Linked DNA regions of Schizosaccharomyces pombe. The main gene of each other region encodes a partner of the protein of the gene in region 2 in a complex. Each region holds a gene or a part of one and is shown on either strand. Other genes may lie near its edges. The genes, in order: atg14 and atg38.

The links.
Region 1: atg38 (region 2) and atg14 share a complex: the UniProt entries of both Schizosaccharomyces pombe proteins name them as parts of the autophagy-specific vps34 PI3-kinase complex.

Annotation. Positions count from the first base shown.
Region 1 is NC_003424.3:2,100,652-2,104,927, forward strand, and holds atg14 (protein Atg14), read left to right. Parts: upstream 1-1,677; 5' UTR 1,678-2,130; coding exon 2,131-3,303; 3' UTR 3,304-3,452; downstream 3,453-4,276. Other genes in the region: protein Fft3, read right to left, coding at 1-398; F-actin-capping protein beta subunit acp2, read right to left, coding at 3,546-3,949, 3,999-4,276. UniProt on the Schizosaccharomyces pombe protein: Functions as a part of the autophagy-specific VPS34 PI3-kinase complex I that plays a role in autophagosome assembly. This complex is essential to recruit the atg8-phosphatidylinositol conjugate and the atg12-atg5 conjugate to the pre-autophagosomal structure.
Region 2 is NC_003423.3:207,472-211,709, reverse strand, and holds atg38 (protein Atg38), read right to left. Parts: upstream 1,952-4,238; 5' UTR 1,909-1,951; coding exon 1,885-1,908; exon of another isoform or gene 1,789-1,884; coding exon 538-1,788; downstream 1-537. Other genes in the region: protein mug168, read right to left, coding at 1-199; alpha,alpha-trehalase Ntp1, read right to left, coding at 2,425-4,238. UniProt on the Schizosaccharomyces pombe protein: Functions as a part of the autophagy-specific VPS34 PI3-kinase complex I that plays a role in autophagosome assembly. This complex is essential to recruit the atg8-phosphatidylinositol conjugate and the atg12-atg5 conjugate to the pre-autophagosomal structure.

The DNA.
Region 1 (4,276 bases), on a different chromosome or scaffold from region 2:
GATAAAGCATTGTAAACAGCGCCGTATGGATTTTGGGCATCCATAAATTGCGAAGGAGTGCCAGCAGAAGGTGTAGGAACAAGATTTTCTAACGAACCGGAATAATTATATGGTTGATTTATGGAGTTAGCAGAGGAAGTAAATGAGGGAGAAATATCACTCAACTGCTTGAAATGTTCTAAACTTGAAATGGGTGCAGTAGCCTGAACTCGTTTAGACATCTCTGAAAGAATCTGAAGTCGCGAATTCATACCACCCCCCATAACATTAGCTTTTTCGGTAGCTTCTGAAAGCGAATCAGCAATGAAAGGGGGGAAAATTGGCTTGCGCTTCACGTTGGAAGTCGCGTCGTAATGCGTGCCATCAGCGGTATGCTCTATTTTTCTTTTTCCATCCATAATTAAGTAACAATCAATGTATCCAAGCAAATGGCAAAAGAAAATTGAATCTAAAATATAGGATTTGGAGAAAAAATATGTAAGGTCACGTGTATATTATGAATAATTTTATCACACGAATTAAGAGCGCCGAGAATAGATGCAAAAAGATTGAAACTTTTTAAATTCTCCTAAGATTAATTAAAATGGAAGAAATAACGACAAAACAATACAGATTTCTTGTTTCACGCGTTTCTTGGTAACTCAAATAGTTGAAAACTTAATATGGGAACAGCAGATTACAAAAAATTTTGAGGGCCAAAACTTATTGCAATTTCTAAAACAAGAAACAATTCCTTTAGTTACGAGATGTGTATGAGTTAATTAGGATAGACCACCTTCTTCTAATACATAAGCGTTGTTTCGAGATGATATGCAGAATTTAATGAAGAAAAATAAAATGTAAATGAAAAGTAGACAAAAAAATTTTAAAATATAAATTTAAAATTTTCCTGATGTTTAAGATGAAGCAAACTTGGTAAGCTCTAGCAATAAACAAATACTCGCAATTAAAGATCACCAAAAACGACTTATACTTTGGCTATCCAAAAACAATCTTTGTTTAAAAAAAGAAAAAGAAAATTACCAAAATTAAAATAATAACACTCAATGAATCGGATTGTTAAAGAAAAAGACTCCAGTCACCCAATACCTTCTTTTGTATTATGGAATTATTCGGTATAATTCAAGAGCACACTATGCTGGTAGTTTGTTCTTGATGTGGCACGGGGGCGTGATATGGTGGTAGTGGTCCCAAATACTGATGCTAAATAATGCCTTAAACGTTGTAACGTAGTTTATGGTAAAGCTATATCATGATGGCAACTTGCTCTTTATATTACTAAACATTTAGCAAAAGATACCGTGGCGAAATTGTCTTTATTCTTTTATAGTTTTAATAAAATCATTAAACATAACTGCAGATACTAGAGATCTTTTGTCACTGAACCTTAAGAAATATGACAACAAATAGTGTTTCGTTATATTATGGCAGCGTACCACGTTATGTTTTCTAGGTGATACTGCAAAAGCTAATGTTAAAAGAGGATGGTTTGGGTTCTAGGATTATATTATTTAGTTAATATTTTATTAACCTATTTATTTAGATAAAATAGTTTTGTAAAACACCTTGCTCATCACTCAAAGTTATTTAGCAAAAATTTGAGTGTCGAGTAACAGGCTACTTTAAGGAAATATTTTTAAACGCTTTATAAAGTAACTATTTGCATACGATTGTAGTAATCAATACGAACATCAACTGCTAAGTAGCTACTTCGGGGATTTGAAGAAATAGAAGTCCATCTACTCATTGCATTGAATTCGTATAATATAATTTTTTCTTAATATTTGTCGTTTTTTCTGTCAAAAATATCGCATTGGTTGTTCAATTCTGCAAGAACAGCCAGGAATGCAGTTTCACTTTTAAATTAATATTTTTGAATTTGTCCGTTAGGAGGCCCTTCGTTTCTAAGAATAATTGTTTAAAAACCTGCGCTGTTTATTTTTTTTCCCTTTTTCTTCTTTGTTTTTGCTTCATTATTTTAACAACACCTATATTGTATACAAGTTGACAGTTAACGTAGTAGGAAATTAATATCCTGCTGGGTTTTTAAGTTTTCTTATTGCTGTGCTATAATTGAAATTTGCGTACCACTTGAAGGCATTGTTGGATCTAAACTGAAGGTGTGTTTGTATGCTGCATGTCAATAAATGCCAATTATGCGAAACAAGACGTCCTTCTATTTGCGAAAGCTGTTTAAAAAAGCAGCTTTATGATTTTTATCATAAACGTGATGAATTCTCTCGAGATATTGAGTCAGAGCTTGAAAAGGTTGCTAAATTGAAATCAGAAAGTTTCTCTCTAAAAGGAAAGATTACCCAAAAAGAGGAATTAACTTATCGACTACAGAACCTTGCTGCCTCTCTAAACGAAAAGAAATCGTTATCGTGTGACTTGCATTCCCGCAAACAGCTTATAGAAGATGACTTGTCTAATCGCAAAAAATCAATTAATATCGCGAGTCAAAAGTTAGCTGGCTTATCACATTCAACGAGTGACTATTTCTCTAAGGAATACCTTACAGCTTATCGCCGTTCTGAGCTACTTCAAAATAAATTGCATGAGTATCAAAAGAAGCTGATAACAAGGGTTTTGGATATGTATCAACTTCACTGGCAAAGGGATTTAGTGCTTAACACTCAGGGTTGCACTCAAAAATCTGCTCAAATGGGATCAGAGTTTAACCCTGACTCCATAGATTCATCTCTTGCGTATAGACTTTCAAAATTATCAATGGGCAATTCGAAATCCGACTTATCTCATAGTGACAATGAAACAGGACATTTTTATAGCAACTTTTTTTCTCAGGTGATGGAGTTAAATGCCTCTGTGACTATTTCTGGCATTCCTGTATGTATCAGAAGTAAAGAGAAAATGTTTTTAAATCCTGATTGTGCTTTAACTTTATCCTTTATTTGTATATTTTTAGCTCAGTATACCAGTATTCCCTTACCATGCCCGCTTCAACTCCCTTCGCCTGATCAAAAACCCATGACTTCATTTTCATCGGAACAAATGTTGTATATAATGTATAACATAGTTTGGATTTCATGGAACTGTGGCATTTTTTCGTTTCCCCGTGGAATTACCCAATCCCAGCTTTTTGAGTTAATGCAGTATACTGGTTTCTGGTTAGTTCAGCTACGTACCAAGCCGCTAACTTCTCAAAAGCCAGATTGGCATTACAAGATGGGTATGGATTTTGACCTTTTTCACCGATTATACCTGGCGCGTCTTCCAATTCCAATAAATTACTCCTCTCTTCGATCACGTTCCTCGTCTAAACCATATCAGCTTATTTCATGACCTTTTTTACATGATCTTCGATTAACAGCTTTCTTATAAAGTCTCTTAACGTATATTTTTTAATGCTATTTATATAAACTTTTTTACTGAACAATTAAATTCAATAATTTCTTTTAAAACTGTTGTAAAAAAATTAGATTATCGGTGTATTTATTTATATTAGTCAATCTTTCTATGACTATTTTCGTTGAAGATGGAACGAATACTATGAGAAGATCACGGAAAGAAAACAAAAAGCAATCCTAAATGGAAAGATCGTTTAAAACTGAACGCAAAGCCGAATCATTTGGTTGGGCATCGGAAACGGGTTGAATGGAACGAGTCTGGTTGATGATATCTTTAGTTTTTCCAAAGTAGACATCCTGGAGGAAGTTGCGCATCCGAGTTTCCATTTCCTCAACCAATTTGCCAACATTAGCGATCTCAGTGTCATCATCTGCCGCTGGTAATCGTTGAGAAGTTTGGCGAGTCAAATGACCTGAAAGGTTAAGAGCTTTGGAAGGCAAGGCAGACTGTTCCTCCGAGCCAGATGAAAGGAAAAGGATAATAGTACTTGTAAGTCGGTAATCATAAACGTTGGTTTCCGTGGTAGGCAGACATTCAAACACGTGAATAGAATCCCATCCGCTTGAGTTAGAAGTAGAAGCTAAATGAAGTTAGAATTATATAATGAAATTGACAGAAAATAAAAATACCCTTTTTTATGAGAACGGCGCCTGCGTAACTATCGTCTTGGTCCCAAAGATAAACGCTACTAACACCGCCCTCGTAATAAAGATCAAGATAGACACGGATTGCTTCATTCAAAGAAACTTCTAATTTACGAACTCGATCAGTAGAAACTAAACCATCCTCCAAAGGAGGATCATATTTATTGCTCCATGGTGAGCGGTACGAATCTCCATCCCTGTTAAAGTCACATAACAAATATTGATTACCTGACTCAGAACAAGTATTTACTTTTAGAGGCTGA
Region 2 (4,238 bases):
GCGTAACTGTTTCATACTCATAAACAGAATTTTTTGTTGATCTGCCAAATGGCGTTGGATTTTTGGAATCGAAATGCGAAATACCCAACGGTGAGTGTACCCCTTGACTCAAATCACCAATGTTGCTAACATCAAAAGGTAATACCGGGCTCGGTTTACTAACTTTTCGATCTTCAAAATCAGAGCCATCCATCCTCATCCTAGTTTTCGTAGTCGAATTCAGTTATAGAAGCACGTAAAAATTTATTTCAGAACTTCAGGTGGTAAAAAGAGAAAGTAAAATCCCAAATATAATGGTATGCGCAGAGAACATATCTAAGCCAAAATAAGTATTGATTCCATTAAGGATGGCTCGCCACAGACCATGTCATCGTAATTTTGCCTCCCCATGCATTTCTCTTCAAAAGGAAAACTAAGGCACAATTTAACGAAACATACAGAATTTTGCAGAGACAACATAATGTATTGCTTTGAAAACTGATTTTCGATCAGTTGCCGTTTCTTTAAAGAATTAATAAGTAAATCGAGTAATGACATTTAGTGAAGATCTTGATCGAGAGTACTGGTTTGAAATTGCTCCAGTTGCTTTTGTAAAGTTGCGATTTGTGTTTCAAGCTGTTTGATTTTCAATTGAGAATCGACCGTAATCTGTGCCGTAGATGATTCAAGTGAATCAGTTCCGGACTCCATAGGCTCCTCTTTTTTCTTTCCAGATATTGAACGAAAAAATGGAAACCGAAACAGACTTTTGCGTCTGGTATATTTCATGAGTTTGGTCGGAGCTTCAATTGTTTGGAGCGTTGGCGTTTCAGATCTATCAGGGAAGTTATTGTTTATTTCCTTAGTAAAATCATTATTTTCCCAAGAGCCGTTAACAAGACGGTTTGACTGAATATCCTCCCTAGAATCCGTAATCTCTCCAATACTACTTTCGCTACTTGATGCGTGACCAAATGCTCTTTTAAATGATTCTTCCCTTTTATGACTTCTTCCCATCTCCTCTTCAGATAATTCCTTAGCATCATTGTATGAAGGAATAAGAAACTTGGATACATTGTTATCATCTGTAGTTCCTTGAGTAATGTGTTGTAAATGTAAATCCTCGTTTTCATATGGAATCCTTGTATTATTTAAATATTCTTGTTGACTTATATCGAAATTCGATAGCGGTTGAATCTGCTCGTTCGTATTCTGATAGGCAGGATCTTCTTTGCTTGTTGCATTGGCATCTTCTTCAACGCTGTTACCAAGAGAAAAATCATCACCTTCTACGATCAAAAAACTCTCATCGGAGCTAAATATGCTTGGTGATGGCTGATCATCATCCATGGGAACGATGGAAAAAGCAACTGCAAGTCCATAGTTGGTTGACAGCTTTTTAACCTGCATTTCGAATTTAGAATACATTTGATATAAATCGTCCTCAGAATCTTCCATTAAAGCTTCACGAAAGCTTGGTTTTAGTCGAACAGTAGTATTATGATCACCTGGTAAAACCATTGAATTGGACGTAAATCGTGGAGTTAATGAAGAAGTATACATAGGTGATAATCTCGTAGACATTGACATTGATATTGGTGTTTGTTTGTTTGGCAATGATTCTCGTAACTCGCGTATACGAACCATCAACTCTTCGATTTGGTTATTTGCGCATCTTTTAATAAGAGGCTGAGCTGTGTTCTGACATATCTTTTCAAACTGACTTTTTGCTAATCCATAATACATAATTGCTTGTGAAATTTCTCCCAAAACTTCCTGATTTTCCCCATCTCGGGCGTATTCATGCGCCTAATTTTGTTAACATTCACATTCAAAAGCGAACGATAATTACGAACTTCAAACACTAAATTTACTCATATCCTTATCTCTTTAAGCATCTCTTACCTTTCTTAATGAATATCGAACCATAACACATTTTAATAATATACTGTTGTTGTGTAAGGAAGTGGCCAACTTATGTTGTCTACAAATGTGAACGACATAATACGGTACATTAACTCAAAATAAGTTTCTAGAAGACAATTCCTTCAAAAAAAAAACTAATAAAGTGATAGACACCAAATTAAACATTAGAGTTATATTCGGACTAAAACTGCAACAACAGTACTATCATGGAAATTATAAATTAGAATTGAATCGTAAGGTAAAAAATTCATTTACTACTTCTTTCTTTTAAGTAAAAAAGTAATAATATCGCTGGTGATAAGCTTTACTCATAAATTTAAATAGAATTAACTATTGTTTCGTAAGGGAATATTCGCCAAATAGAACCTTCATAGTAGAAGGATTTAATGGAAGGTATAACATGTAACATAACAATGGGTTTTAACCGGTCGATAACCAAAATAACATAATAAGAGAATAAAGCTAAAGGCAACTAAAAAAGTAGACAAAGTCGATTATTTTTTTCAAGCAAACGATAACTTAATTTTTATGAATGGAAAGGTTTTCGAAAGCAGGAAGAGATTCTTCCTTGATGCCGGCAAAGAAAACATCAGGAGTCGTACAAGCACCAAGAGCCCGACGCATATGCGAATTACAGAATGTAAGGCCGACTTCGTAACTGGCATTAACCCATCCAAAACCTTCGCGAGCAACGCCTTTGATATTGACACCCTGATTACCATACTCAGCTTCAACACGATGTGGATCAACTGGTCTGGTCAAATCATATTTTTCAACAACAATACCATTAAAATCAACAAACGATTTAGTAATAGTATATAGCCAACGATATACAAGTCTACGAGTCTCCTCTTCATATCCGTATCGAATCAATCCATACCAAGCTAAAATCTGCTGAGGGCTCCAGCCATTAGGATAATCCCATTGACGGCTGGGATTATCAAGACCCACTTTACCCAAGCTTCTCTTTGTACCAGCAACTATACCTCCAGCAACTTCAAACTTGGGAAGACTAACATCAACAAATTTTGCGGCTTGACGGGGAGTTGCCACACCGGCCCACAAGGCCCAGAAAGCAGTAGCACTTTCATAAGTACTCTTCGTTTCTAACTTCGTGTTGTAATCATACCACATCGAATCAGCTTCTGACCAAAGATACTTTTCCATTGCAGCACGACGAGCACGAGCACGACGATCCCAAATGGCAGAAGTTTCTATAGTTCCGTTTGGAAGTACAAACTTGTCATCGAAATATTCTAAAATCACATGTGAGATGTCGGTTTCATATTTGTATAGCAACGAGTTCAGATCCACGGTGGCCAAGTCAGCACAAACTTTTTCCAACCGATAAGTAGTATCATGCCCGCTTTCGCGAACTGCGCGGTCGTGCACGAAATACTCATCCAACGCGGGTTCATGAATTTGTTGGTAATTGTATGCATGAGTAAACTCCTCAAGAGTCATATGATACTTCTCCATGTAAGGACGAAGCAAATGCTCAAAATGAGAAGCTTCAGTTTCCGGAGGAATACCGAGTCCTCCAGGGCGATAGCGGGAAAGACCAGTTTTGGGATCCAGTCGTGGAGTGGCAGTCCAAACAGTGTGATATTCTTTTATAGTCGCAGAAAAGGCCCGATGCAAAAAGTCTAAAGATCCTTCTTCGTTTTTTATACGTTCATAAACTCGAAGGGCCATATCGGTCAAAAATGGAGGCTGGGAGCGAAGAAGATAATAAGTGCGGTTGGCATTCAAGATCTTACCGTAATAGGTAATTTCAAAAATAAAATTCTCCACCATACCTTTCGCCAAGTCAACCCGATCGTCAACAAGCAAACCCAGTGATTCAAAGTAAGAGTCCCAGCCGTACAGTTCATTAAACCGGCCACCAGGAACGACAAATGGCACACCTCGAAGATGTGTATTGCCTTCATCATCTTGGTATTTTTCCATTGCAAGTGCAAGTAACCCTGGCTTATCATTTACATCTCTCACCCATTCTGGAGTAATCTCTTCCGGCAGATATTCGACCTGTAAATTCAAGTAAGGCCTTTCCTTAGCAGCGCGAACATAGTATTCATACATCTCTTGTTCGGCTTTAGGAACATAAATTCGATTCACGTGTGATCCTGATCGGTCTTTGGTATCACGGCAAATAACATCCAAAACACTGGCATCGATTCTTCGAGTAAGGGCATCCCAAAAGGTACCTTTGATGAGTCTAGAAAGTCGGTTCACAGGGTTTTCATTAAGTCTTCGCTCATCAAGTAAAATATATCGACGTCCATAATCCTTTGCCAAGGTCAATTCCTGAAGTAAATTTGACAATTGATATG